Linked DNA regions of Drosophila melanogaster. The protein of the gene in region 1 purifies or fractionates together with the protein of each later gene. This does not show direct contact. Each region holds a gene or a part of one and is shown on either strand. Other genes may lie near its edges.

Evidence for each region.
Region 2: the proteins of CG3407 (region 1) and CG10466 purify together in Drosophila melanogaster (affinity purification with mass spectrometry, with the first as the bait; one large-scale study listed by BioGRID). This does not show direct contact.

What each region holds. Positions count from the first base shown.
Region 1 is NT_033779.5:3,810,024-3,826,874, reverse strand, and holds CG3407 (uncharacterized protein), read left to right. Parts: upstream 1-13,464; 5' UTR 13,465-13,544; coding exon 13,545-13,586; intron 13,587-13,653; coding exon 13,654-14,280; intron 14,281-14,340; coding exon 14,341-15,304; intron 15,305-15,369; coding exon 15,370-15,881; 3' UTR 15,882-16,074; downstream 16,075-16,851. Other genes in the region: slp1 (sloppy paired 1), read right to left, coding at 123-1,091.
Region 2 is NT_033779.5:19,786,242-19,801,139, forward strand, and holds CG10466 (uncharacterized protein), read left to right. Parts: upstream 1-5,862; 5' UTR 5,863-5,985; coding exon 5,986-6,210; intron 6,211-6,268; coding exon 6,269-6,508; 3' UTR 6,509-6,541; downstream 6,542-14,898. Other genes in the region: fs(2)ltoPP43 (female sterile (2) ltoPP43), read right to left, coding at 6,661-6,917, 6,983-7,161, 8,342-8,802, 9,299-9,505.

The DNA.
Region 1 (16,851 bases):
CCACGGGGCAAGCGAGCAGGAAGTCCTACCAGTCCTAGCTCTTCCCCAAGCGACCCTTTTGTCCCTGGGTTTTTTTTTTCGATCCAAAGCGCTGGGCTTGGTTCTGCGCCGACTGCCAAGATTTAGCTGGATGGAAACTTGCCAAAGAACTGCATGCGCTGAAACAACTCGGCGTTCAATTGTTGTGGATAGCCCTGCATCTGGGCGGGATGGGGCGCCTGATGATGGTGGGCCTGAGGAGCCTGCTGGTACTGCATCTGCTGATAGGCAGCCTGATAGGCAGCGGGATTCATGCGCTGGTACAGGGCGGCGGCGGCAGCGGCGGCGAATGGAACAGCCGGGTATCCGTAGCTGGAAGCTGGAGCTCCGTATGGTGAAGCAGCCATCATCGGCGAGAATATGGCCTGACGATAGGCGGCCAGGCGAGTGCGACTGGCGCCGGGATTCTTGCGCCTCAGCTTGCCGGTGGTCTCGCCAATGAATACCTCCTCGGCCGAGGGGTCCAGGATCCAGTAGTTGCCCTTGCCGGGATCATCGTAGCTGCGGGGAATCTTCGTGAAGCACTTGTTCAGGCTCAGATTGTGGCGAATGGAGTTCTGCCAGCCCCGCTTGTTGGCCTTGAAGTAGGGGAATCTATTGATCAGATACTGATAGATGCCATTCAAAGTCAACCGCTGCTCGGGACTATCCTGGATGGCCATCATGATGAGGGCGTTGTAGCTGTATGGCGGTTTCTTGGTATCGCTGCCGGCGGTCATTTTCTGTTTCTTGCTGGGATTGCCATCCTCGCTCTCCTGGTCCTCGTCCAGCTGATCCTCCAGCTCATCGTCGAACTCCACGTCGAGCTTGTCATTGTTTTGCGACGATAGACTCTCGGCGGCACTGCTCATGGGTGTGCTGGTCCTGCTGGGGCTGTCGAAATCCTCCGAAGCCGAGAGTTCGCCATCGGAATTGGAGTACGGATGAACGTACTGATGATGATGATGCACCGGTTCGGTTTTGATGGGTTGAGTTGCGGTGTTGATGGGTTTCTTGGCCAAGATGGCATCGATGGAGAAGTTGCTCTTGAATTCCATTTCACTTTTCACCATTTTTCTGATTCGGATATCTTTAGATTTTTGTTTTCTTTGGTTTCTGATTCTCACACACGACTTGGGATCGCTTGAGATGTTTGCTCTTGAGATGCTAGCTCTAAGCTGATTCTCTACAGCCCCGGATCGGGCTATTTATAGTCCAACCCCCGGTCGCTCGAACGAAGTCTACACGAAGAGAGCCCACAGGCCGAAAGAGACGGGTAGCTAATGCGCACAGGGAGTGCGAAAGGGATGGGCATCAGGTAGTTGGGCAGTTAAACCCTCTTCACAAGACTCCGCCCTCCATTTTGTGACCATTTTGTTCCACTCGCCTTCCACACGAAACTATATGTTGGCTATATGTTTGTAGACGTTGTTTGGGAACTTGTGGATGTTTATTTGCAGTCTTTTGCTGCTTCGGCGTCAAAATATCCATTACATCCAATCCAAACAGGGTCGGTATTTTGGGGTTGCTCTCAGTGCGTCTCGCTTCCGCTCGCTGTTTTGACTATTAATTGCACTAACAAGCGGCAATAAAAACAAAAACACCAATTTCGGGCAGTTGCAATTTAATCAGGATGTTTATAATTCGAGTTCGATGATTTTTGATTGGGATCCGAGAGTAATTTACAAATTGGGCCATTTCTAATCACTTCAATGGGGATGACATTTACACTTTGTCAGATATTAGAGTGTTCTGGCAATGACCTAATTTCAGTCATAATTAACTCAAAGATATTAAATATGCTTTTATAGATATAAGTAAAGATATTTACAATGTTCTAGAATATTGGATTGGTGCTTTGATCCACTTATCATATGACATTGAATTCTGCGAACCACTGCACTAGCGATCTGCGACACAGACTCCTCGAGTTGCTCCTAATCCCGCCCAAACTAGTTCAAGGGTCGCTTTTGTGGTCCGGGGATTATCTGAGGCAGATCCTGCCTTGGCTTACGGCACGATTTTCAACAGCTCAATGGAGCTCAGGACGCAGAACGCAGGACTCAGGTAATCCGAAGGGGTTAAACCTCCGAGCACCGGGATTTGTTCTAGTTTCGCGACAGATTTGCGAATTAGTTCTGGGCGCGCTTCGCCAGAATCAATGTGGATCTCTGGCAATCCTTTTGGAGATTAATAGATTTGGAAAATTATAAGCATGGACTCTGGCAAATATTTGTGCTCAGTGTTGGCTGGCAGTGGAATTTAAAATTGGTTGCACGAAAGTTAAGTCATATTTTGGTGATTTTGTGTGTGTGTGTTTAAGATTTTAAGATAGCTTAAATTTGAATGAATATCAATTTGTTCTATGATAAAGAATGCGATAATACTTGTAGGCTAAGGTTTTTTAATACTTGAAGACACTTTTAGGAAATTAGGAGATGATTGCAGTGCCGTGGATCTCAAGGACACATGCAACTCACATGGACAAACATCCTTTGGGATCAAACGAAGTCTCGCCGACTCTACTTTGCTACCGAAATGGACTTTGAAGTCCGGACTTTTCGTTTGCGAGTGGGTTGGCAATGGACCGAGACTGGACCCCGGCTACAAAAACACGAATGTACAAGTGGTTTTTGTGTCCATAGTGTTTTATGTTTTTATGGCATGTTTTGTTAGAACAATTGAACAAATATACAGGCAGATAAATCGGGCGAAAGTCAAGTAGACACAATGAAGACGTCAGCGCTGTGGGTTATTACAGATGGATGGATGGATGAATGAATGGATGGGGGCGAATACTTGTCGGCGGCACTGTGCGTTTGATATCTTAGACAACTTGACAAAACAATCAAAGCAGCAACAACACATGTTCCAAATGACTGTCTATTAATTTGCTCCCTTCTCATATTTTATTTTTTGCCCAAAACCAAAAAATAAAAAATAAGTGAACAAAACAATGGAGGAGTTGGGAAGAAAAAAGTAGGCAGCGCACTTTTAACGCAGTAGTCCAATTGCCGATGATAATGATGCACTCAGAGAAGTCGGCAAAGTTAAAAGTGCCCGAAAGAGACGGCAATCGAGCGATAGAGAAAGAAAGGTATAGGCAGTCGAAAAAAGTAGGCGGTTAACAATTGCCGAGGCGGCAGGTTCAGTTACTATTCTTTCTTCTGCAGAGCGTTTCTTTCTTTTCTAAGCGAGGGATAAATGAAGATTTGAACGCCTCGATTTTCCTTTTGCGGCTTCCCTTTTTCTCTCTTTTTATTCTTTTGCTCTGGGCCACTAATTGAGTTGGAAATTTGTGTAGTTTTTTTTTTGCAAGTCGGACTTACAGATGAAAGGCATTTCGCCGACTTCGACTTTGACTTTTCCCTGGCGAGTGCATAATTTTGACAACCGCGACAAAACTAATTGATTTGTGAAATCCCTAATCCCTTCAAAAAGTCCACACATCCTGGACACACACATTGCGGAAAATTTATGCACACTGCATAGAGTAATGGGTAATTCGATTATCAACTGCAAGGTGTGCCTATGCAGTTTTTTAGGCATAAAAAAATATGAAAAGATGAAGACAATTATAAAAACAGATGAAGATATTTAATCTATGTTATAGTTTCTGGTCGTAAGACCTTTGAAAATTATATATCCCTTCCTGACTTTTCGTTTGACTTTAATGTGTTTTTTTGCCGGGAGGACGTCGTGGTAAAACGAATTGATTAGCGATTCGAGATCCTTGAGGGCACACCTTGAGCATAATCGAGCGTGGATCAGACCGAGAGCATGTGGCCGCTGATTGGGTGATCAGGACGCGATCAGGACCACGCTGTTTGACATTATGGTTTCATTGCCAAAACCACACTTAGGCGTTTCCTTGGCGAGCTTCACGCTTCGAGGCAACGCTACGCCTGCCTCATTAGCTCACAAAAACGTAGGGAAACTATAGAAAACTATGGAAAACTATGGAAAACTATGGAGATGCATAAGCGAATTCCAAGTAGACACCGTGGCCACAGACAATGTGCATGTAATTTTCAATTAACGCCACAAGATTTCCCTCCTTCAGGACTTTCGCCCGTTTTCGTTCCACTGTGGGTGAGCATTCAGTCTCATAATTGATCGTAATGTGCGATATTCCTTTTGAGGAACCTCGCTGTCAACAGGACTCGCTGCGAGTCCTATCCTCAACGATCCGATCCTCGGAGACTGTCACATGGCTGCGACATCAGCAGGATATCTTCGGCATTTGTCGCGCACAGCGAGTCGTCTTTTCGCCCTCATCCTCATCCTCGCACTTTGCCTTTCAGTCATTGTCCTGTCGACAGGATATTCAGCATGTACTGGATTTTATGGTCCCAACAATGGCCATGATCGATCTATCGTTGCACACCCGATGAAAAAAATGTGCAGTGATTTTTTATGCATCCGAAACGCTGAGTTCTGTCACTAATCAGGTCCTTTCACTCGGGCATTTCTGCATAAGGCTCAGTTTATTGATAAGTCCGGTGTCAATCCCAGATTTTGAATGAATCCTGCTACTTGGCTTAGGTACAAAACCGGACTTAAGTTTACTACTATATTGCCTTTACGATCTGGTTTCACTTTTACTGCTGCCAAATCTGCACTTCAGGTAGTGGGGGTAAATCTTTATTGGCATCCAGGTAAGAGAAATATGAAAATCTATATATGTAAAACATTGAATGAGCATCTCGAAAGCGTTTCCCCTGAAAGACTTCAAACATAAATATGCTTGTCAGAACTAATATTTCCAGCGATTAAGATCCCCGCTCTCAAGAGCCACCACCTCCAATGTTCTCCTCTTCAAAGGCATCTAAATTTTATTTTATTTCCTAACCATATGTGTGTCAAAGTTCCACTTAAGTAGAGTCGCCTCCCCCATATGGAAGCAGCTGGAGATCGTAAGCAACCGCCTTTGACAACTTTATAGCCTAACGAGCCGAAAGGATCTCCAAGCGTACAGTCAACACCCACTATAATTGATCAGTTCCACACCGAGGCACATAAAAAAAAAATATTTCGCATCCTTCGGGCGCGACTGCGACTTATTGATTAAGTTGTCCATGCGGTTGGCATCGGGATTGCCAGACAGGATGCATAAAAACCTGGAAGGATCTCGTCGGCTAGAGTTGATCGAATTATAAAGGGCAACTGGTTGCCATCCACCATTTGTCTTCATTCTTTCCCATTGCAGCTTGCAGCAGCCAGAACCGAATTGATTCGTCACGCAGATTTCGATACATTAAATGCAATCATTTGACAACAGGACGAAAATATTTTCATCCATTGTGTCCTAACAACTAGCATACGATGCTAGGCTGTGTGTGTGCGCTAGATGCCATGGTATACACCACCACACATGATACATCAGTATCCGAGTGCTATCCTTTGCAGGTTTCCACACCAATGGGACTCCCCCCCAAAGCGTAGCAAATGCGTGATGAGGATGCCCTATAGAGGATATCTCAGGGTTTAGACCCTCCATACCTTCACCATATCTCTCCCTTTCTGGGCGTGTGAAATCGGGAAACAACGCCTGGGAGCTGGCGATAATTGCTCGTTAGTAGCTGCACCATGTCCACGTCGGATTTCAATTCGCAGTCTGTCCTCCGCTTGGATTAGGTTGTCAGGATCTGGGGATGACTGTACAAGGCGATCAATGGATTTTGGGGAAATTGATTTTAGCAAATATATGTAAAGAATATCTTTATATTAAATTTAAATTATATTTATTTTATAATCCACATAATATTGCTCCCAATGAATAAATGCTTTTCAATTATATGTATCTTGTATCTACTTCTTTTACGAATTCGTAGATCAATCTCCCAGCTAGCTCCCTTCACTCTTCTTCGATCAAGTATAAATCTGTAGACCTATTTTAGGACCTCATTACCAGCTTATACAGTTTTGTATGATCCAATTCCATTGTTTATTCACAGTTTGGTTGACACCTTTGAGGAATTTCTCACCTTCACGATAATAAAATATTATCCCGCTGATCTCGGCACTGATCTTCCCATATCGATTACAATATCCTTTTGCGCATAGCAAGTTCCACGAAAACGCATTGAACCGATTGTGCCAAATGTGACAACATAATCCACATAAAGTAGCCAAAAGGAGCCGATCTCGATGATCCTTTGATCTATATCGCCTTATCATCGTCGCCGTGATTTTCGTCTAATCTTGTGATTCTTGTGTGACAACATAATCAAGGCGAGATCGGCAGAGATCAGAGTGGCCGCATATATCCTTTGATGAGCGGGAGTAGCGTACCACGACAAAAAAGGACACTCATTGTTCGAAACGTGCCGAAAGGTGGAAATAAGATGTCACCTGAAAAATGCAAGGAGCTGCCGCCCATGGACGAAATAAAAGAAATTCGGAAACCGACTTTGATGTCATTGTTTTAGGTACATTTTATCACATTGTCATTGCGGGTAGACCAAAAATATACCAAAAAGAAACAGCCGCCGCCGCTGCTGCCAACAAATGTCTCAATTATTTCTTATTTTCGGCCTTTGGCTTTGACTTTAATTCTGTTCGACCGACTTTGGGCCACGCCTTTTGGAAAATATACCCTCGATTGGGAATGCACCGCAGCGGGAGTCCTTGATTTATGCCTCGGCGATCCTTGATCCTCGATCCTGCGGACTGTGGACTGTGGACGCAATCAAAGGAGAAATTCAAACAATATATAATCACCACAAATGATCGCAGCGCGTGCAGAATGTTTGAGGAATCGTTAGTACCGCCCCAACCCCTACGATCCAAATCCAGTAAACCAGAAACACAATTAAGAAGTCAGAAAAGCAGACGCTCCGCTAAGCGGATTCGGCCTTTAATAGTCTTAAAAATCGATTCCTTTTTGAGCCTTATTGAAATGAGCAGCAGACGGCTCATTGTGTTTTGGCCTGGACGTGTTAACATAGCAATTAACTTTTACAAGGGCTGCTAAGGAGCAGGAATTTATGTTCGATTTATGCAGCAACAGGATATGAAAGGACCAAAAACAAGATCGAACAGCTGGCAAATTTTTGATGACCAATGGTTGAGAAGGATCTCGAGATGATCGGTTTATGGACAGTTCGGAATGTGCCTCGAATTCAGGTGTGAAGATCAAAATGGCAGTTGAAAATTTTAAAAAAAGAAAATAACACCTTGAGAAATGAGAATACCACATTAAAGATATGATTAATGTATTCTTTCTGGATTATTAATAAAATTTCGTTTTACTTTATCATCTCACTGCTAGCTTTTGTATTCCTCGACAAACACAAGATGTAATTTATTTAACACTTGGCTATTTACCCGATCGAATTTCCCACTTCCAATTAAACGACTTCCTTCCGTGGCCACGTGAAAGTGTGTCAGCTCCATTCATGGCTCACATCTCCACACTGCGGAACAACTTCCCCAAGTTATGGCCACAAAAAACGAGTCAGATCACACCTCTTTGACATAATGACAAGATGGGAAAATGCGTTTGGTCTTTTGCCGCCACGTCAAATCGATGACACTTTCTCATTAACACAAACAGGCGCAGGCGGTCAAAATTCGCTGACATTTCTAGGCGCCTGCCTAACTTCGAGCTAATGTCTTTTGAATCGGGGAAATCCGATACAGCAGTGGAAAATATGCAGAGTACACCGGAAAAAAAAGTATATGGCTAACTGACTCAAGTACTAGTTGAAATCAATCAATATAATGGGTATTGCATACTGCATACCATAAAATCATCTACCTTATTCCATTAGATATATATAGTTTTCTTTCAGTGCAGCCAGGATTGGGGACAAGAAACACATGCGGCAAGTGAAGTGTTTAGGCGTGGACGTGGCAACATCGCGTACGGAAAAGGAAACAAAAAGTAGGAGGTGCCGCCGATGTGTTCGAAAGTCGGTTAATTACAAAAAAGAATCGAAACATCTACACACACATTCAAAATGAAAGGGCAGACACGCACTTGAGCACTTGACTGACTCACTCAAATTTCATGCGGCAAGGAGTCGAGCGAGGCAAGTCGCAGATGAACGTGCAACATCAAAGGCCGCCAGCGACTTGTATGTTTTCATTGCTTCAAATTGGAAAATGTCTTCGCATCGAAAATATTTGGTTATCATTGGGTAAATATGTGAGGAGCAACAAGGAGAATGGTTAGAAATAGAATGCAGTGAGTCCAGAAGGAGGAAGTTGGGAACATGCTACAGTAAATACAGGGTATAATTGGTCCTTGCACTTGGAAAAACTCCTATGTCAAAATTTCATCTTTAATTTTAAAGTATATTTCCACGTGCATCCTTTAGAATTCGTCGCAGTGCTAGGATTTTCACAATTGACACAAGTCAAAGGTGTTTTTTGCCTAAAGGACCAGCCCAAAACTCAGGTGCTGTTTTGATTTTGGAAAGCGTCTTGCCGTTCCGCTTTTGTCCTCTTAGCCCGCTGGCAAATTCCTTGGACGGCAGCGGAGATCGGAAGGTTAGTGTTAAATGCCGGCGATTTGCACCAGCGGTGCACCGGAGGTGGCACCAGGAATCGGAATTGGAAATCGGGAATAGGAATGGGAATGCGAATGGGAATCCAGAGCCAGGGGGGTATCCACGCGGCAGGATGCGCCTGCCTGCGTGATGATGAGCCTCGAGTAAGGATGCCGGAATAAAGGACTCGAACGGCACCCGCTGACATTGACATCCCGACGACAGCAAGCAGGCCAAACTCAGCTGCTGCTGCTGCTGCTGCTGCTGGTCCTCGTATCTCGTGTTTCCTTCAGTTTGCCCGAGAAACGTCCTTGGACCGGCCGAGGTATGTCCTTGGCCCGTAGAACGATATGTGGCCAAAGTAAATGGCATATTTTGGCCTCTCCTGGTTAACCGTACGCAGTATTGCTTGAAACTTTGGGATCTAACGCAAAACTGTGGCCATACATTGACCTTCGACTGGAGTCCTTCGAGGATCCTGTCGCGTTATTTGGTCACAGTCACAGTCACGATATGTTAGCAAATCTCAAGTTTGGTGTTTGTAATTTTTGGTTTTTTTGCTTGCCACTACAAGGTCGAACTGAGGGAAGTTGGCCTCGATTAAAGTGGTATTTTGGTTTGGGCGTTGATTTTGAGCATGGCCCTGTATGGTAAATACATAAATATATAAATTCAATATATAGTTGAAAAGTAACTGGGTCAATGACTTCCAGTTTGGGACAAATATCGATGCATGTGCTGAAATATCCTGAAGATCTTCAATCACATCCCTTTGCGAGTCCTGAAAAATCTGCACTTTCGCTAACAAAAAACCAGCTCATTTCGGTATTTCGATTTTTATTTCTCTGATATTTTTCACGGCTCAGTGGCCTTCGAAACAATCAAACTAATGGGACACCGCAAAAACATAAAGGCAGAAAATGTGATGTGTGTATAAACCTCTTGTGTTGGTCAAATTCATTTCCACTTGATTACGTGCAAAGCTCAAATCTGTTGCGGAAATCATTTAAACGGAATTAATGCTCGAACAAAACATGTGAAAACTATCGCTCACCACTCGATTCAAATGCATTTGGGCGAGGCGGGGAAGCATTTCGATTCAAGTAAATATATGTATATATATTTCCTTTTGATTTTGGATTCGAAATTTCCTGGTATTCGTGGCGCACAAATGTCGGAATATCGAGTTTGGCAAAAAAAGGTAGAGTAGGGCGTGTGCAAGCCTAGCGGGTAGCACATGAGTCGATTCCTTGAATAAAAAGTATTTGCAAGAAGGGGAAATATATTTGCAAACTCCAATAAAGCGGGAGATTTCAGTAATTAGTTCGCTGGTTGTTTTCCAAAACACCTGTCTGCTCTTAAAGAAAAAACTTTAGCAAACCTTTGAAGGCTCTAAAATGAATTAGATATTAATCCTGAACACTAGAGGCGCCAAGAATAATAATATTTGTGCTTCTCTTAGTATCACTATGTAATCAATTAAAAAAGTTGTCTGTCTTTTACTTCATAATGCCTCATTATCTCGTACAAAATGTCCTTTTTACGAGGGGTTACGGAAATCAGATTGCTATCGCCACTTGTATGTCGCCGCATCGCACTTAACGAGGAGCTAAAAACTCGGATTCGGGGTAAAAAAAAAAAATGGCACGAGACAAGAAAGCCCCCATGCCCCGCTAACATGTGCTGGAAAACTATAGGGAAAACCTCCTTTTGGCAGGACACGAACGGAGATACAAGTAAAAAACTGCCAGAGAACACAGCACGTGACAATTGCGTCAACAGATTTTTCGCTGAGATGAGCACAAAATTGTTAGCAACAAAAAACGTGAGCTAAGAATGGGAATGCGACAGGAAACAGGGGCGTTGGAGCCAGGGGGGAGGGGGAGCTGCAGGGGGGGTTGGATTTCCCAACACCCGACCAAAAACAAAATATCAAAACCCTGCTGTTGTTGTTTTTGTCGTCTGTAGTTGTTGCTATTGACAATATTTATGCAGCAGCAGCACCAACAGCAATATGGAAAAACGGGGGGCAGAAAGTGGGTGGTGGTTTGCTGAATATTGTGGGGAATTTTCAGACCCCAAGGGCAAAATTGTGGTGCTTGTCATTCCACTGTTTGTTTTTGCATTTTACTACATTTTACAGCTTTTGTTTTATAATTTGCACCCGCAAGGCGACAAACTGCAGGGGGTAATAAAAAAAAAAAGGCAGTAAAAAAGTAAAAAAAAAGTATGGTTGAAATAATTTGTTTGAACTAGGAAATATCTTCTTTAAACTAATTTCGTGGGCAAAAGTTCTGAAATCTCAAACAATTTGTGATTAAATTTAATCTACTTATTTTATTGAACATTTTATGAACAAAATTTTACTTCAAAAGCAAGCATTTTTAGAGTTCAGTTAATGCGATGAGATTTTGGAGAACCCTATATACCCTTCATGTTCCAGGGTGTCTGAAGCTCTCTTCAGTGATCGAACCGCTCTTGATGAGGCTCCTTTCCGCTTCCTTTTTGCAGCAGAGCAGCACAAACTCGAGTCTGCGGTAGGTTTGGTCCTCCTCTTGGTCCGCGGTCCTCCGAGCCGGTTCCGTGTGGTTGTTGCAAGGTGGTTGTGCTACAGCTACACTTGTTTGGTTGTTTCCGTGGATGGGGTTTCGGTTATTTCCGATGGGCGAACGGCGAGGAGGGTCCATGGCACCGCAGTACGTGACGAAGAACAAAAGAAGGCACTTGGGCACTTGCATGTTTCCTGCCTCTAGTCGCGCTGGATGGTGGAGGTCCTTACGCTTGTGCCGTGTTTTTTTTTTTTTTTTTTGTCCAGAAACTTACTTGCCGCTGCTTTTGTTGTATCCACAAAAAAGCACGCTTATGATAATAATGGCATTATGTATTGTATACCACGTAATAATGTACAAAATGTTGACAGCCGCAGTCTTTTTGCGACACAAACTTCTCTAACGAACTGAAGGCAAAGTTGTAGGAAAAATCAAGTGGAAATATTCTTTTAGTTTCGAAAAGCTTTCGAAAGTAAAGAATTAAATATATTTTATAACTTTGTACCCTGATGACAGACATTTGTATGCTTTATATACTCAATTTGTGGTGTAGCTAGTGCATCTTTTCAAAATTTTGTTCCCAGAATCCAACCATAACAATCGTGTTTACCCAGGCAGGTTAATACTTTTACTATTTCGCCAAAAGAAAATATTGACTTTTCATATTTGCGAAAAATATTTGAAAGGCACAAAAAAAAGATTCCTATTTATTTTTGTACAAAATTTATGAAAACGATAAACCAAAAACAAACAAAAATTGCTTGGTAGCCCGCAAAATAAACACACAGCAAATAAACCAAAGAGGCAGAGTCAGGTAGGATTGTATCTGCATCTAACTACATATATGGTATGGGTTATAGGATGGAATAGATCAAGGGCTCTGGTGGGCAGCTGGTGGGCGTTGCTAATGTGTGAGCCAAAAAGCAAACAATTTGCATTCCCAAACTAATGAAAAAACAATATTTATATGGCACACAATAATACTACAATTGAAAGAGTAAAGAGTGGGCAAAAAATACAAATCTTTGAAGATTTGGAAGAAGATCTTTAAGAAAATATACAATAAAATCACAATTTCAAAATATTTGAATATTTATGAAAAAATTCTCCAATTGCCCTATTAAAATTCTAAAATTATTCCTTCTTCTTTCTTACAAACCCTCAACAGATATTAAGTTAAATGATAAGCTGTCGCCATATTGAAAACCTCTAAATTAATGTCTCCCTCTGGGAATTTCCCCCATTGCTCCACAAACCAACCAATTGGTTGGAACATAAAGTTCAACAACAAACAGAGCCATAAACATTCCCATTACAAATTAACACTTCATATATATTCCACATTCTGAAGTGGCACATAATCCCAGTCGTTTCCCCCACTTTCCCCCCGAAAGTCGACGGAACTGTTTCAATCTCCATATGGCCGCAAACAGGAAGCTAATCCTGCTCAGTGATATATCAACATATTTATGGTAAACGGATCAGAGGGCTTAGGCCAGCAAATTGGAGTGAAGAGGGGAACTGGGGGAGCATCCATATGTTACCCTCTGGTATTTTTAGGCTCGACTTCAAGTGGCAACTAACCGCAGAAACTCCATAAAATTTTATGAACACTCTTTCGGCGATTTTATGTGACGAGCGACGGCTGCTTAGCACTTCGATCGCCCATGGTCTATTAATGTTTAATAAACAATTATTAGACAATCAACGAATTTTTCGTGGCTCTGAAGCTTTTTGATCTTCATCACATCCAGTGACTCACCAAGAATGGGTGTACAAATAAATACCAAAACGACTGTGTTTAGATCAAATCGGATAATTACGCACACGAATTCTCATGAATCATAACAATAACAATGGAATCCCTTGAGGAATCCGTCAGGAACACCTCTTAGCGGAGGCGATTGACACGTCACGAGTGGGAGAAACTTTCTGAGTCGAGAACAAATGCACTTTGATGTTTCACGAACTGCAATTCGAGGTATTCACCATAAGACATAACAAACACTTCGATATGTTTGGAAATTAAAAACTTGCGGTAACTAGAAAATCGGTGTTAATTGGTTATTAGCTTGCCAAGTGTTTTAGCTAAAATACTGACAAACATGGAACAAATTCAAAATGAAGTACCAGCGATTTCAAGACAAACTAAATGAAAATGAAAATAAAGTTTAAATAAACTACAAATGTATATCTAATACTAATATATTTAAATTTGTTAAGTACCAAAACCAATTAAATAAAAATCTTACACTTTTAAAATGATACGACAGGAGTTTAAATCTCCGCGGGTTTCCGCCACAGCACCAAAGCAGTTTACTGCTTGCTTTTGAGCACTGCTCTCCTTGCAACAACAATCATTTGTGTCCCTTTACAGCACTGTTCGGCTCACAGACATCGATAAGTTATCGGTCTATAATCGCTACAAAACGTAAACATCTGTTTTTTCGCTTTTAATGAATTTAAGAAAAACTTTAGGAAAATGGAGCGCAAGGAAGTGGACACCCAGCAGTTCATCGACCATGTAAGTGGAATGCGACCATATTTCGCGTGAAAACCCGCGCACTAACCAATTCCCAACCAACTTGCAGACGCTGCTGGCGAACCACTTCATCATGGATCTGATAGATCAGACCTACAAATCCGAAGGACCCACGAATCTGAGCACGAATCCCAGTTCCGGCAACTCCGAGAGCGGAGTGGGTTACGTGGAAAAGGAATCGCTGACGCCGGAGCTGAATTTCCACAACACCATCTTTCAGTTTGTGAACAAATCATCGCCAGAAAATGATGTTGTACCCCACCAGGTGGATGCGCAGCCCACATTTCCGGCCCTGGCCATTGAGCCCACAGTGCCCATCGACGTGTCCACAGGTCTACACGAGGACGAGGATCTCCTCTATGCGCACAACAACGCCTCCTGCACGAACGCCCGCAAGGTGCTGCCCCACAAGAAACGCATTTCGCGGAAGCTCAAAGGCAACATAGACCCCGAACTGGACCACCAGCACAAGCATGTCCAGGATGTGGCACCCTCTTCCCTGTATAGCTGTGAAATATGCGGCTATGCTGTGCACACCCAATTGGACTTCTTTGCCCATCTGAAGCAGCACTACGAGCCCACCGTTCTGGAGCAGCGCCTGGTCGTCCAGGATCCCCAGCAACAGCACCAGCAAAAGGAACCCCTCGACATGTGTGGTTTGTCTGCGCAGGATAAGGTTAGTTGGGATTTCAAGCCTAAAGCTTAAAGTTAAAGACTCATTTCTTATATCGCACAGCTGCAACAGGAGCAGGCCAAATTGGATCAGGTTTTTCAGGACGTGCAGCTTAATTTTGAGAACTTTCACAACATCAGTCACCATGTGAACGATGTTGCCAACGTCGGAGTGAATATGGTGCTGCATGGACAAGCCACGGACAAATTAAATGCCGTGGTGGTTAACACCAGCAGCACTCCGAATTCTGTACCCGTGGTGGATGACGTCGAGTTCAGCGATACGGAAGACATGCTCGAGGGTATCCGCAATGTGGTGGACAAGGTTTCAATAGAAGACACCTGCGATGAACTGGTGGATCTTGAATTGACCTCCAGCGGAATGACGGCACCCTGGTTTAATAACAACTTCAGGGATATCACATTTCCGGCTCTTCTGCTGCCAGGAGAGCCGCCACCAGCTTCTTCAGAGCCAGCTACTCCACTGCTTAAAGAGAATCCCCATGTAGGCGACCACATGGCACTCGATTTTCTTAGTCCCGAGAAGGCGGACCCTCAAGAGGAAGCAAAACTGGAGAAAACACTGTCTAAAGCCTGCGAGCCCAATGAGCAAACCTTGTTAGTTGCACCACCTGCCTGCCAAACACCACCGATTCCAACTGTTCCACCAGCCAACTCATCCATTGAGCAGCTGCGCAGATCTCCCCTAGAACTAAGTGAAGCCTTCAAGTTGGAAGAGGATGACATGACCGATAGCCGACCAGCTTCGTCGTTCGAGGAAGGCGATCCCGATGCTGAAGAGCCAAATGAATGTTTTCAGATGGAGGTTTTGGATACGAGTTTAACCGAGGAGGCAGAGAACAAGACAAGGAGGAAACATTTCTGCGACAAGTGCAATCGCGATTTCAACTCGTACAATGCCCTCAAGTACCATCAGTATACGCACAATCAGGAGAGATCTCACAAATGCGACAGCTGCGAGAGATCCTTCTACACGCAGAGTGCGCTAAAGGCTCACGAAAGGACACGTAAGTGATTACCTAGAATCTTTCGCACATAAACCCCTAATCCTTGATGCTCCTATCCTCCATAGATTCCGGCGTGAAACCCTTTAAATGCGACAAGTGCGAGTTTCAGTTTCGGCAGTGGGGTGACCTGAAGTACCACATCATCTCGCGGCACAGCGACGTCAAGGCGCACATGTGCGAATTTTGCGGAAAGAGTTTTTCCCGGCGCTACTCCCTGGTTGTCCACAGAAGAATCCACACCAGGGAGAAGAACTACGCCTGCCAGTATTGTGACAAGACCTTCCGGGCCAGCTCCTACCTGCTCAGTCATATTAAAGTGCACACGGGCGAGCGGCCGTACGAGTGTTCCATCTGTGAAAAGAAATTTCGAGTCTCAGGCGATCTCAAGCGACATTCAAGGATTCACGATCCCAGCAGAACAAGCCAACCGCCTGCGGAAAAAGCTAAAAAGAAGAGGGCAGCCGCGAGCAATAAGCAATTGCCAATCGAAGAGGATGACGAGTTGGCCACCAATATCCAAAACAATAAGTCTGACGCCATGCGCGACCAAACTGGACAGAAAATCCTGGGCTTATAGCCATGCTGTGCCAAGGTTTCTTCAAAGTAGTATAAGTCTAAGTCTATTGTACGCACTTTTGTACAAGTTCTGTAAATAACTGAGATCGTATTAAGTATTTATGGAGAAAGAAAATCACGTGTAAGAGAGCTTCAAGTTTAAGAAAATTCCACTTTAAAGTCAACTCTTGAATAAATCTGTACATTTCTTAAGCAATTTGGCACAGAGCATTTTCTTTTTTTTTTTGCTGTCCCCAACAATTTCCTTGTGATATCTGCAAAATAAATTTGTAAACTAGTACATTTTCTATTGCAGAGCATTTCTTTATTATTTTCCATGTTTTCGTCTTGTCATCTTCATTTCATTCGTTTTTTTTTTCTCAAATGTTTTTGTTTTTCACACATCTGTCTCTCTCTTTTTGCACTTGTACCGTTCGTCGACTTAATTGTTAATGAGTAAGTATATATATTGTTATTAATAATGTAACTATGTACAACACAAGTGTTTGGGCGCCTGTCAGCGGGCCCAAAACGCAATGAAATCTTTGTATTCTTTGTTTACAACATAATTGGTTTCTTCGCTTTTTTTTTTCGTCGTTTTTGTTTTGTTTCTCAAAAATATTCAACATAAACGCCCCGCAGCCATACATTCCATAGATTTGTGTGTGCTTTCCGTATTTGTTAGCCATTCTATTCTCTCACTGTAACTTCCTTTCGCTTTCGCTTCAGAGCTTATAAACTAAAATCCTAGTATTGGCTGATTCACCAGCTTCCTATCTTTTCCACGCTTTAATGTACGCTCAGTCCATGATATCCTCCGATTCTCCCATTTGTTACACATATATAATATAATTCATCTGTCTCATCCTCGCTTGCATTTTGTTTAATTAATTAAAAATTACGAAAACTGCATTCCTAGTATCAGTATCATATCTGCACTTCGCATCTCCCAGCCTGATCCTAACTCCTCCAGCTTCGATTCCCCGCTATTA
Region 2 (14,898 bases), about 16 Mb from region 1:
TGACTGACTGACTCATAATATAGAAATAAAAAAGCAAGTCCGCCATGTGGGAATTGCAATTAGTCTAACCGCCACATTAGTCAACGCTCGTGCTTCGGACTGCCCAAGTCCGTTTTACTAATTTTACCTGGGCAACGGACCAAACTTTACACTCCACTCCCATGGCCCCCATAATTGTCGAGCTCTCGACTTCCGTTCACACAATTATGGACTGTGGCAAACACAAATGCCAAGTTGCAAGTTAGGGAAATGGAAATGGAAATGGTTTGCCTGGTTCAAGAAGTTTGAATGCGCTAATATTACATATTACATGAACATATCCAGTAAGCAAAGTGCATTTTATTACGCTTTATCTGATTCTTAAATAGTTCAAAGTAAATCTTATACATTTCCCAATTGGTTTCAGTCCCATTCCGAAATGATTCCGACTCTATTATGTGGCGATTGCATAATTCCGAAATGTACCAGCAGCGAATTTCCAAAGTCATTAAAGTGCCATTGTTAGGGCATTAAAAGCGTTCATCTGATATGAAGAAAAAAAATGGGAAAGCACAGGGCAGAAAAGAAAAGCGAAATCGCTCAATTCCGCTGGCCATGTAAATTTTCTACTTTGACATTTGTGCAGAATTTCGCCTGGCCTGGCCCAAAACCAACTCATCTCCGTCAGCGAACCATAAAACCTAGCCTAGTGTCATTTAGCGACGTCGAAAAACAGGTACACATAAACCCACGGACTCACACTCCGACGACTATCGGCGAGACCAGACTTTATATTTTTAATGGAAGTGAAAGTTTTGCGCGCATCAACGAAATATATATATATGTACATATGTAGATATATAGCTGCTATACGTAGACAAAGCCAAACACACACGCGGCCGGCAATATCCAAATTTTTTCTTTCAGGTTGTCTTAGGCTCGTGGCGCCGGCATACGAAAAGTTTTGAAAATAAACAAGCAAAATAAAATCGTACAATAAAAATCGCATTAACAAATATGCGAAGCAGCTGCTGGAAGAAAGCGCAATGGCCAAATATTTAGAAGCAAACGTCAGACGCAAACGGGCAGTGGCAATATAATTTAATTATTATTCATTTCTATGCGAGCGCGACCGACCCGAGTGGCCGTGCATATGAATTGTTAAATAAAGTGTTGAATTTCAATAAGACAAACGGCCACAGCGAACGGGGGCAATTGGCACAAGCGTTGAAATTCATAAACAAATGCGAAAACATACACAAAATATAACCCTCCCCCCCTCCATTCGAAACTTGTTCGTATTAATAGACAATCGTTTACTCTACCCATCGCCGGGCATATGAGCTAGGGGGTTGATCTCCGCTCGACTGCGGAATCCTTCAGAGGAATTTGGTATTTCGAAGTGCTATTCTTAAAGTTCTATTCCTGAAAGAGGCGATCCGTACAAATTGTTTAAGGTTTGGTTTCTCTAAAAATAGAGAATAAAAGAAGATACCGCAAAACTTAAACTTTATTCTGCATATACTATTCTATTTCAATTCATTGTGCACTAAATACAATGCAATAAATTCAAGCGTTTGCTTTCCAAATTTGCTACTTCGCCTTTTGTTCTATACTGCACAAAAGTGGTAATTAGAAATGATAAATTACACATGTTCAATTAAAACTATTCGAGCTATAAATATTCAAATAAGGCAACATTCCATTCACTGGATTTGTGCAGGTGATTCATGGATGAATTATAGGTTGATAAAAATTATTCTGTCTCACTGATGATGAGTCAGAACGAAAGGGGACTTTCTTCTTATCTGAGGCTTGGATTAAATGCTTAAAAAACTTAAAAACTTATCAAAAACTAAGGTAAATCATTTACAGCATTCATGTTTCCAGTGATCGGAGATCATGCAAATTAAACTGAGGAATCGGTTATTGAACACATTTCGTAATCTATATTTAAACTATGAAATCATCGAACTCAATATATGCACAGTAAATGTCAATAAAAGATAGAGCATCTATATTTATTTGCCTTCGACACTCTTGGGCTATGATTTCCTATAATGTAACTCTTCTTTCAAACGTATTGAATAGAACGAATTCTTAGCGCATTTCACATTCGACGCAGCTCATCGGGCAAACAGAGGGCACTACTTTTGAGGCATTTTGATGGTTTTTGTTTCATATGACTTGGCACTAACAACCATAACAGCAGCAGCAACAACAACAAAGCCCCCAGCGACTTGTCAGTTTTAATTGAAATCAATTGAGCTCAATTATTTGATACGCATATGAAACACAACATCAGCGGCCATCACAACAACAGCCGCAAGAGCCGCCAACCCAAAAATTCTTATACGCCGTGTGGGTTCGGCATTTCCCCCTGCTTGCACTTCAATAACCACGAGATAGTTGGCGAGGCTGGGGGCATGTCAGTCGCCAAATATGGAGCGTTTATGAAGAATTCTTTACATGAATGTAAACAAAAACAAAATGCGAATATAAAACGCGACGGCGTCGGCTCGAACAGGTGTAAACAGCAATAAGACACAGGGCGAAATGTGTAGAACAGCGAATTTTCTGTTGGCAGTTTCGCTGCAATGTTTTTTTTGTGCCTGCTATTGTAGACTGTTTACATTGGCCAGCAAAACAGTGGTTGGTAATCAGTAATCAGTGATAACGGCTGCAATTTAGTACTATTAGTAATCCATAGGTATGAAAAGTCTTGCATGAACTGGACCGAACTCCAAATGTTAGTTAGTTCTCGGTAGCAATACTGTGCAAGCCAGTGTAATTCTTATCCCTACGCTGCCTGAAGAGGGGAATGCGAAATTCCTTCTGTGGTACTAGTGCAAAAGTAAGTAGTCCAGGAACCAAGGCGTTGCAGCCCAGTGTAGCCCCCCAGTACGCCCAGATGTTTGGTGTCACCCGGTTGAAGGGTACTCCCTTCCCGGATGGGAAAGGGTTTTGCTGGCGGGATTGGGTATGGGAATCTGCCGCATCTGTGGGCAGTGGTGTAATGAGCTGGTCGCCGGCGAGGTAAACGTTCCCCATTGGAAGCGGTGTGAGCTAGCCGTCCGTTTGAGCGGATGTTTGAGTTGAGTGCACAGCTACCGAGGCGCAACGAAATTAATCGAACTCGAAATCGGGAGCTGGCGGGGAAGCAGCTTGCTCGCTTGGTTATGCTGCTGCACATATAGTACCCCTGTATATAATACATATATATGTATGTATGTTCGTGTATATAGACGTAGAGTAGATGTATCTGGCCAACTTGACACGTTTCTGCAACAGGCGGCCGCAGCGCAGTCAACTTTGCTCTCGTCACTCGAAATGTGCCATAATCGTGCGCAGTCGCGGCGCGAATCTTTCCCAGAGACGTGAGCCACATAATAACCGCAGTAGGAGCCCCACACGAGTGTACATATGTACATAAAGTATAGTAGCACATATCTGTACGTATCTCGTAATAATAGCGAGAAAGCTGCCCGCACCCAGCCCCCGCATTTAACGGCCAAAATGAGTCAACATGCGCCCAAAATGTTCTCATAGAACAGTGGGGAGAAGTTTGCTGATGCGGAGGGATAGGCAATGGGTTCTCTTTTTAAGCCATTTTCCACATCACACATCACTTCGCATAAATACCCATTGGGAATGAACGAGAACTAGGAAGGTACATATGAAGATAGTTCAGATAATATTTAGACAGCTTTAATTATATTCATTATAGAACTATGAAGAACATAAATCAACTATAATTCAGGGTCTCTACGAACGCAACTAAAGTTTACACACTGCAGCTCAGTAGAGTAGAAAAGTGAAATGAAGTACCACCTATCAATTAACAATCAGTCTACGCCAAATAGTATTTGTTAATTGATTTTTCCGCCTCCTTAACACCTTTTCGTTAATCGCACACTTCGCTCCTTTCACAAAACTCTTGGCTTTACTCGCAGAAGGGTATGAAGGAAAGCAAGTGAAAGGCCAGGAGTTGGCTTTTTGGGAAAGTAACAGAGCGGACCAAAAGTATCAGTTGCTTGGCAGAGTGGGTGGGGTAGGTTGGTTTTGGGGCACGAGGAGCTGGAGAAGCAGGAGCAGCCGGACGGAGCGAGTTCAATGTCAACTGTGTGGGCAGCGCCACGAAAACTTTTTTACGAGCGCTTCCGCTTGAAGAAACACACACAACTGGATGTGTGTAAGCCCGCAAGTAAAGCACGACCACACCTAAACATTAAAAACCAGCGATGGAAGTACATGTTTCCTCCTTTCGGCGTGGACAAAAACAAAGAGACACAAGCGACCATACAGCGGGGGTCAACTCTTTAAAGTCGTGTTGAGATTTTTTTAAGATCATGTGTAATCTTAGGTTTTAGGTCAATGGCTTGTAAACTACACTTTATGTGACTTAATTAGCGTTTAGTGTTTCTCACAATTTAAGTCTTGCTGTGCGTAATACCCGAGGATTGAAAACAAAAGGTTAAGGAATGTAGTTATCCCAAAGGGTTGATTGCGATGAGTCAAATGACAGCAGCTGGCATGAGTTGCTCTATAGCTATTACTATTAAATTCCAGAATAGGAGCATATAAGAAATACAAAAGTTTCAAAGTGAACAACATAAACCAAGTTCTAGTCACGGTCAAGTGAGGAACTCTATTTATAGTTATAGGGTTTCAAAATGCACGTTTCCTTATCTGGGTTTTTGGGGTTGAAGTTGCAGGACAAAAGACGGCAGCTTTGGAGGAATGCTTTTGTCCGCTCTTCCTCTTCCTCGCTTACCAAGGACTCCATAAAGACGGCAGATACCGGAGGCCCATTACTATTATTTTGACTGCAGCTGTACGAAAGAGAGGCATTGCCAATGGGGTGGAATGTGCATGTGAGTGTGAATGTGTTAAGGAAAAGCAGCAGCAGACAGACAGACAGACAGACACACAGACGAATGGACATATGGTGGAGTTGTCCCAGGTGAGAGTGTGTGTGTGAGTGTGGCTGCCACAGGGTGACAAAGTCTAGTGTGAAACGGACATATCGCACTTATGTCTTTTACATACCAACTGTTCCAATAGCAAGGCGCAGGCATAGTTACGTGCGCGAGACAGAGAGGGAAACACACACTCAGCTTCCTTCGCAAAAAATAATATGGGAGAGCGAAAAAAAATAACAGAAAAGACGGGGCGTTATTCGCTGTTATTCGGCACAGAACGCGTCTCGAACGATGATGGGAAAATGGTAAAACAATGGCTTTGGCACAATTAAAAGACCTCAAAGACGCCAAACGGTTATTCGTTTATGTTTTCATCTCTTCCTCTCCCTCACCAATCAGCAGTCGCAGTCGCGGCAGCTATTATTTATTATTTTCGTTGCTGCCGCACAATACACTGACACACATTTTTAAATAGAGAGGAGATACTTTTCAGCATATCTTTTTCCTTTGGCACGCACACGAGCATGCAGACACACGCACACGCAAGGGCATACCGCACACACACACACGTACGCTAGCAGACGGCGGGTGTGTAAGCCCAATTTTCGCATTCGTACACACCTTTTCTCGAATAGATCACCGTGGCAATGGCAATATTACAACATTTCTCACTGTCCGTCCCAGTGCACAATTAACTGGCTTCCGATCCGCAGCCTTTTACAACGCGACAACAAATGTGACGATAACGATTAAAATACCACCGGCCTTATTATAACGCACTATTTAATACCACTGCACATACAAGAAATACCAAATACAAATACCTAGCAATTAAAAACTACTTTGGTATTTAAATTAGTTGGAAATTAAATAAGTATGCTACATATTAATTATATTAGCCTTTTAGTTTTAGGAAACTCTATGAGTTAAAGAAAGTATCCAATTATCGATATATTGCCTGAAATACTACCTACACTGCTTGCTTGCTATGTTAATACAGTTCAAAACAGACCGATGGTATTTTCTACCTAACAGCAAGCAGTCACATCGCCACAAAAACATAAACAAATAAAACGATTTGAAGATGAATCCGCTAACAAATATGAAAAATGTGCTCAAACTGAGCGAACACGAACTGCAACATGGCGGAAAGAAGAGCTGGCACGACATGTACAAGGACTCAGCCTGGATTTTCGTCGCAGGATTTCCGTATACCCTAACTGAGGGCGACTTGGTTTGCGTATTCTCGCAGTACGGCGAAGTGGTCAACATCAATCTAATTCGAGATTCAAAAACGGGAAAGTCCAAGGTAATGCTTAGTTACCCTTTCAAGAAAGTTCCTGAAATCATTGTTTAAACTTGTCCAGGGCTTCTGCTTCCTGTGCTACGAGGACCAGAGATCCACAGTGCTGGCCGTGGACAACCTGAATGGCATCAAGATCCTCGATAGGACACTAAGGGTCGATCACGTGGCCGACTACAAGCCTCCCAAGGAAAACGAGAAGATGGACGAGGAAACCCTTCGCCTTTACATGGAGGGCTGTGCGCCGAAACCTCAACTTCAGCACATCAAGACTGAGAAGAAAGACAGCAAAAATTATAGATGATAAGATAAGGTTAGCTTAAACATAGCAAAGCATGCAAACAGAATTTTTATATTAACTTAAATTTTTTAGTTATTAAACGCTAAATTATACTACTACATTCTTTTTTAAAGCCAGTAATTTAAGGTGCAAGAATGAATTGGCTTTCCAACCTCTCATTCGCCATCAGCGCTCGCAAAGGAGTCGTCATCATCATCATCATCCTCATCCTCTTCTTCCTGACCCTCCAGTTCCTTCAGAATCCTTCGCTTGTAGCGCTCATAGGCGCTGCCCCTCTCCCGGTCGACATTGTAAAAGTCCACGTCGTCCACAAACGAGTCTTCCTCAGTGTCGATCGTGTGCACGTAGGGATCGCGAAAGGTGGCATAGTCATCATCATCGCTGGTGCTGGCAAACTCATCCTCGTCATCATCTGGAAGAAGAAGCATATGCATATTCATAAGCGGAATCTATGCAAACAGTTAACACAGATCTTACCGAGCATAAACTTGTTCATTTGCCGGCACAACTCATCATCCGAACCCATGGCGCCCGCTTCGTCGTCGTCCGGGTAATCATTGGTAAAGTAGTTCTCCTGGTTCGAGTCCTCCGAGTCGTAGTCCTCGTCCTGGTCGTTGTAGCAATCTTCTAGGACAATCTCGCCCACAGGAATCACACTGCAGAATAGGCGAAACAATTAGTGAGTTTATTTCGATTCTTTGATCACGCAGCATTTTTAAATTGAAACACAACAAAGTTTGTCACGTATTTTGAGAGTTTCTTTATTTAGTTTATATTCGATTTCGGGCAACGCTAGGCCCCAACAGATATAAAGCAAAACAAACTAAGACTATGCACTTAATTAGACTTCAGCACTAGTGTTATCCGTTTTTTTTTGTTTATTGTCGGAATGGAAAAAGAACCAAAAAGGCAACTGACAACTGGCGGAAACTAAACGAAAAATGCTCGGTGAGCTGTTTTTCAAAAAAATGCGGTGTGTGTGTGTTCGTGTGTGGGGGTAAATTATTCTAATCTAATAGCTAATTAATTCTATGAACATAAGGTAATGAGAGACATTTGCCTAAAACGATTCCAAATAGTACACTAATTGTGCGTTTTTAGCAGGATACATCTTATTTTTATTAAAAACTTTGGCAAGAGGGAACTTTATGGGAACTTTACATAACTATGATACATTATTTAAACTAAGAAGTTTAGATCTAACATATTTTTTAAATGGAATATGGCATAACATAGTTGTGTTAGAATTGAACGAAATCTCACAGTAACAAATCAAATAAATAGCTTCCAGAATCATTCGTTTTCAGATCATGCCGTGTTTACTCATAAAAACAATGTTTTATCGTTAGTTTTGGGCATTTGTCAAATGTGCTGACTGCAATGAACTGTAAGTGATGTGAGTTGCCAGTTGCAGTCCTTTTTTTTATTGTCGTGGGTGGGGCATTGGGTGTCTCCTGTCCTCACACTTCCTAAGTGCCTGCGACTTTGTCTGTCTCTCTCCATTTAGTTTATTTCTTGTTTACCAGTAGCAGTTGTTGTAGTAATTAAACGGATAATACAACCTTATGGAGAACGAACGAATCGTATTATTGAGCTGTAGTGATTGCAATCGTGTCTAGATGATAAGGATAATATGCAAGTATGAGACTGCGCCCGAGGACAACGAACACAGACACACGCACACCCACACCCACACAGATACGCCCATAGCACCGACACACAGACACACCGCTTAGATATATATATTCCATATAGTACATAAGTGTAGTGGTGATCGATTACATATAGTAATTGGTAATGCTCAACGTTTTCTGTGGCTCAACTTGAATGACAAACCTTAAGTAGTTGTCGTCCATCATGTCCACATATGCCGCCTGCATCTCGTTCTCGGGAACATATAGATCGTAGACATAGCCCACGTCCGAATCGGCCGGCTGCTGCTGATCCTGGCTGGGTGCTATCTCCTGCTGCTGCTGCTCCTCAGCTGCTGCACTTGCAGTGCCCATGTGCTGTTGCTGTTGCGATTCAATGTCCACGATGGTTATGTGGCTGCTGGACTCATGACTCTGGCTCTCCGGGCATTCCGCTTCTGCGGCACTGTTTTCGAGCGTGCTGCGCAGGCAGTTTACGACCCGGAAACGCTGCTCCCTTGAGTTCTCCTGAGCCTCCTGCCGCTGGCGATCTCTGCGCAGCGCACTAGCAATGGCTGCATCATTGGAGCGCTGCTGTTGCACCAGATCACGGGCTGCGGCCTTGTTGAGCCTGGCAGCGGCGAATTTACGAGTGGCACAGTCGTCCTGCGAAAGAGGCATACAAATTAATAAATCAATTTTAGATTCATTAGATCTTTGGATCATTAGTCAAAATTACCAATAACCAAACTAGAGCTATCTTTTATTAAGTTCCCACTATTTATTGCGGCTGTAAAATGGGAATTTGCTATGATAAATGTGCATTCACTTTACAGATAACAGGCCAGCACCTTTAACTAAGGTTAAAGATCACTACTAACTGATAAGTATTATTAAAATTGCACACATATATGTGTTACCTTAGATTAGCTATTTGTAAGAATCATTAAAGAAAAAACAAATCAGTTCAATGAGTGCATTTTTGCAGAGTTTGCTAGCCCATATCGTTTTGCATCTCAAAGATGAGGACGTTGACCTTTTTATAAGCAGCACTAAAAGAACCAACAGCGTGCATTCGAGCCACAGCAATATATAGAAAGTAGTGGCCACCAAGGGCATGTGAATTATATCTACGTTTGCTTCTCTAAGCCCCCAATCCCACCTGCTTTTCCAGCGTGCCGGCAAACTTGAGCACGGTGGTCAGTTCGTCTTTGTCTGATGCCACCGCTCCCGCCACCGCTCCCGCCACCGCTCCCGCGTCCTCCAGGGCGTTCTCATCGTTGTGGAGGCGCCGCCGCTTGCCGTTTAGCACAAATGCCGTCTGAGGCTCCTCGTCGATGCGTCGCTTGATTCGCACAACCGCTGGCATTTTGATTAATTCGGAGAATACGACAAACAACGAAAGGCGAAGCGAAACAATTAAAAGTGTGCGACGCGCAGTGTGACCGTTCGGGGCATGCCAAAATATATCTGCAACTCTGGAATTTCATCAATACAAATTTTAGAGATGGAATTGGTTGAGACTGCGAAACTATCGTGACGAATCCTTAAATCGTAGAGCCAGTAAACTAAATTTCACGATTTAATTGTGAATTATTAATTGTGATTTAATCTGTTGATAATCATTCAAAATAATATACGACAAGAAAAGATTGGCAGGTTTGGCAGTGGCAGTAGTAGGTAGTTGGCACTATCAATCATTTTTTTTTCTATATTTCTATATAATGTAAACTGTAACTGTTTTGCATTGAGTATTTTGCATTTATTGAGTATTTTGAATTTATTGAGTATTTTGTATTTATACAGGAAGTAACTATGTTCGACAGTTTTGAATGCCCGCCAATTTCGAATACTTTTCATCCCCGTTTCCGGCACTTCCGGTGCTTCTACCCCCAATCAGCTGATCGAAAGCCGACACTCCGGGGATGAAGTCCCCAAAAGAAGTTGAAGCTCGCAGGAATGGCAGTTAGTGCTCTTAGCCGGCGAAGTGTGGTTGACATAGCGGGTGGTTTCCGTGCTCCAGACTTCCGGCCTAAATCAGCCGTCGGAATTACGTTCATAAAAGTGAAATGTTGGCCAGAAGCGGCGACTTCGGCTTCCTTGTGTTTTTAATCAACGCCAGCAGTGCCACAAGATTAAAGTGAGCTCAGCCTCGGATTGAATTGATGCCATTAAACCGTGAATGGCGCCCAAGTGTTTTCGCTTTTCCGCCCGCGCTTTTTGCCATTTGTTGCGGTGCCTCGATGGACGTGTGTGTGTGTGTATGTGTGTGTGTGTGCCGCTATTCTCGTCCTGCCAAAATGAAACTCGTATAGGCCCGAGAATGATTTAGTGCCCGATCGCAATCCGCGAATGCCGCAATTATGTTTTAATTGGCGCTAAATGGTTTACTCACACGCGCACGCACGAAAGGATTAGCAGCAGGAGTCGAAATTTCTTCGCAAAGGTGGGTTGTTTGTGGCTGCTACCGCCGGATTGGATTTAACCCTGTTGATTTTGGCAAATTGGAAATGTAGTGAACAAATTGGGAACGGAAAAATAAGCAGTCAATCGGTCATATTGGTTTGGTTTTTAGTTTAGAATGTTGATGTTAGCTAACATAATTATTAACAAGGGATTGGTAAAAAGGAATTGGCTGACAGGAGGTGAAGTTGAGTTACAATTTAGCTGTCTTAAGTCTTTGAAAATCTGGTCTGCAATTGAAATCCTTTGAAGGACACGGTCAACTTGCATTGTTAGAATTTGCGACATTTAAAGAGCATCCTGATGATGACAGAGGTTTGTGTTGACACAAAGTGGGTATACCAAACGGCAAATAAAAATCAAGGACACGGACTTAATTAATAAAATGTTTCATGGCGAAAGCGTTGCAGGAGTTATGTGGCTCGTGATTTTTCCACAATTTCCCAAATAACGCTAGAAAGGTTGCCCGTTCGTGGCAAATATTTATTTAATTCCGCAGAGCACCTGGCCGTGTGGACTCTTCGCGCTTTGTTCATCCGATGCGGAAGTCTTAGTGCCTATAAAAATATTTACGAGTGAATATTACAGCCTCTGAACTGGGCCCTTTGACCCGGGGACTATCCAAACATACGTATGTATATGTATGTCTGAGCTCCCCGGGCAGCCTGTTTTATTTATGTGGCGGGCGTCAGAAAATTTGCCATCGCATGAATCATCTGCCACGTTGGAAAAGCCTCCACCGAGGATGGCTCCCCACCGTATGTAATTCGAGCCTGCCCACGTGCATTTTGGGGGAAGAAGATCGGGAGTGGGGCATCCTGATGCGTTTGGCATAATAATGAAATAATAATGTCGCCTTTTGTTCGGCTGGAGGTGTCTCAATGTCTCCGGCAATAAATTAATGGGCTCCGCACATAAAAACATAAAGAGCACCCTGCAGGTTGAGCCTGCCTCAGTTTTGATTATGTGACACGCAGCTTCCTCATGTGGCAAGTACTACTTGCTTACCAGTTCACTTCAAGGGAGTGAGCCATGGGTTTTTCCCACTCCCATTTTTTGTGGGGCGTCACATTCCTTAAAACATTGCCAGCTGTTGCCGCAGCTCAGCCAAAACTAAATTACCATAAATATGGCCAAGTGCTTGTCACGAGACACGGCATGATGAGCCAAAGGATCTGCTGATAAAATGCTAATCATGGCGACAATGTTCGCTGACTTGCCAGGACAACCCAAAAGTATCCATCCAAGTTCAGAAACATTTTTTATACTTTCTTTCGCTGGTTGTTGGCCTTGCTGAAAAAAAACTGCTTAAACATTTTTTGCACTTTCGTTTAAAAAAAAAAAAGATTGTCGATTTCTGATTTCCTTCGGGTGGCACTAGTTTTTTGTTCAGCAAGATAAATGTACAAATATACAGAATTATTAATGATATGTATCTCAGAAGGCATAGTAATTTTAACGAAATAAAAGTTGAGGATAGTTTGGAACATATTTAGATATATGGGTATTTAAAATTATGTATATGATCCTACACTTGCAATATTTACTTTAATTCTAAAATTTAAATCTTAAATGTATTAATAAATATAAATAGTATTGTTTTAAATGTTATTTTGATACATCATTTTTGTAGATAGTAACTAGTGAATTAAATTTAAATTTGGAATGAAATCAAAATACAAAGTGCAGTGTACAATGAGTTCGTTGTAACCGAAGCTCAAGTTTTATTTCCTCTCCTTTTCTTACGCTCTTTTGTGCAACATTTTTGATTAGCTTCAAGTTCAGGAAGGAAAAAGGGACGGAAAGGTCGTGGCCATCGAATGGGGAGGGTAGGTGTTTTAATTTTCGTTTAAACTTGGTCGGGAAAACACCTCGGGGGCATCTGCGTGGGTCGAGTGTCTCTTTGTGGCTTTGACAGGCTTTGTTTTTTGGGTGGCTCTGCCTTGGCGAGAAGCATCATTATCATCATATATCCTTGTTAATGTTAATTTGTCCGGAGGGTTGATTTTTTGGCTACGGACCCACGCCCATAAATCATTATAATGCATTTTGTTTGGGACAAGTTGTAGCGGTCAAGTGCTGTGGTCACTTCAATAATGTATTAATCATTCTCATTTTGTGAATTAAATGGACTATGGTGGTGATGGGCAAGAGTATTTTTTTTAAGATAAGTGCAACGAAAAACACATAAATGAATTTCAAATCATTGTTCTTAATTTATATATTATAATTATAAATTAGTTCTTGGTCTTTTTTAATGCACAAAATGTAAAAAATTCTTTTAAACCAAAGAATAGCCATTGAAAAATCAATAAAAATTCCACATATTATAGTATCCACATAGTATCTTTGTACGTATTTCAAGATAAATGCGAGTGATAAAATATTTATTTATAAAACACGGCGAATTTATTTGATTTGATAAAAAGAGGACCACAGTCAGAAACAGCAATAAAATGCGTGCATTTTCACGTATCAAACATTTTTCACATTTATTTTGGGGATTGTGTGTGCTCAATTATTCATTAAACTCGATGACTGTGCAACAAAACTGGGGGCGAGTGTTAGGGATTACGAGTTGTGGAGATTGCTCCCCGGACCAACGCGCCAATTACAAGTGCAAATAGAAATCTGCTGTCGGCCACAATACCAGCGTTATTGGGCATCCAGTATTATCCTGCATTATCCTGTATATTCCACTTCGATAATACAGTCGTTGCACCCTTCGACACAAATCACATTAATTTTGTTCGTGCTCATTACGGACGAGCTGCTCGGCTTGGCTGGTGCCGGACCAGGACGCACTTTCCACTTTCCACATTCCACTTTCACCCTGCCATTCTGCCATCCTGCCATCCTGACATCCTGCCACTTTTCGTGGAAAGGGGGCCAACCCCCTTTGGTGCAGCCGTGAATCCACCCCTCTAATATCATTTTGCAATTTGCACTTGGCAAATAAAGGAGTGAATGCTGTGGCAGATAGAAACGATTCTCTCCTTTGTTCTAGCCCCCGGGCCAAATGCTTCCCAGCCAGTCAGCCAGTCAGTCAGCCAGCCAGCCAGCCATCTCGCAGCTGGCCAGGATAACACATCCCAAAGCGTTTACATTTCAATGGACAAAAGCTTCGGATCGGGCTACCCGAGAAAAACGCATGCCACACATTGTTAAATAAATTATCGCCTATGCCATGAAGAGGCATCGATGAAATCGATCGCGCTGAATCCGCACCTTGGATACCCTTTTAGTATCAAACAGTAGTTTTAATGAAACAATAAGGTTCTACTTATGTATCAGCCTTTCAATATATATTATGATATATATTCAGATAATGCTTCTCCTCTTCCAAATCTTTTTACTTTAAGGGTACAGCAATGTCGTTATTACCCGTCTTGAACTTGACACCCACAGCATGATTCGAGACTGGTCCGATTTGGGTCCTTACTCTTCACATCCCGCCTCCTGGGATGCCAGCGACTGAATGGGTGGATGGATGGTAGTGGTGGTGCAGCCAAGGCTGTGGGTGCGCGTGGCTGCTTGTGGCTTGATTGACATGCCTCCTGCTCACGTGGGGATCCCCAACTGCCACCGACCCACCCACAGAGTCACTCACTCGAACACATCCTCGATATGCTTTGTGACAAACAGCTGATTGCGTGTTCATCCTGTCTGATGTCCTGCATGTTCGTCTCGGGCATGATTTATGTTCGCAATTGAATTTCTTGACTTTTTCTTCGCCGAGGTCGCTGGGGAGCTGGGGGCCCACACGTGGCCGGTGGAGTTGGCCAAAAGAAACGCAGCACAAATTAGCTCATTTTCCGGTACACTTGCCTCACGTGCTCGTTAGCATCCAGTCAAAGGAGCCACAGGTCATTGAACCCCCAAGTTCGCAGTTTTCCGACTTGGTCACGGGTGGGGGCCACTGGGCAGCAGATGTTTGCATTTTGCACTACGCAAGTTCTGTGTGCCCCTAACTGTACACTTAGAAAAATCGTAAAAAAAAGATACTCTTTTTCAAACATTAATAGGAATATATTAATGGTTGAAAACTAGTAAAATTATGCTTTCAACATGGTCAATCCTTATAAATGTACATATTATATTACATTTTATATTCTATATTGAGTGGCTGATTTTTGAAAGTGTAGATGCTGGTCCAGAAGTCTGGAAAAGAGTGAGTCACGTACTCCTGCCAGCTGATTGCCTCAAATTGTTTTCGCCCATTTTTTCGAACACATTTGACAGGCGTTTAACTGTGACAGAATGGAAGGAGTGGGTGTATGTCATAGGACAGAATGGGGA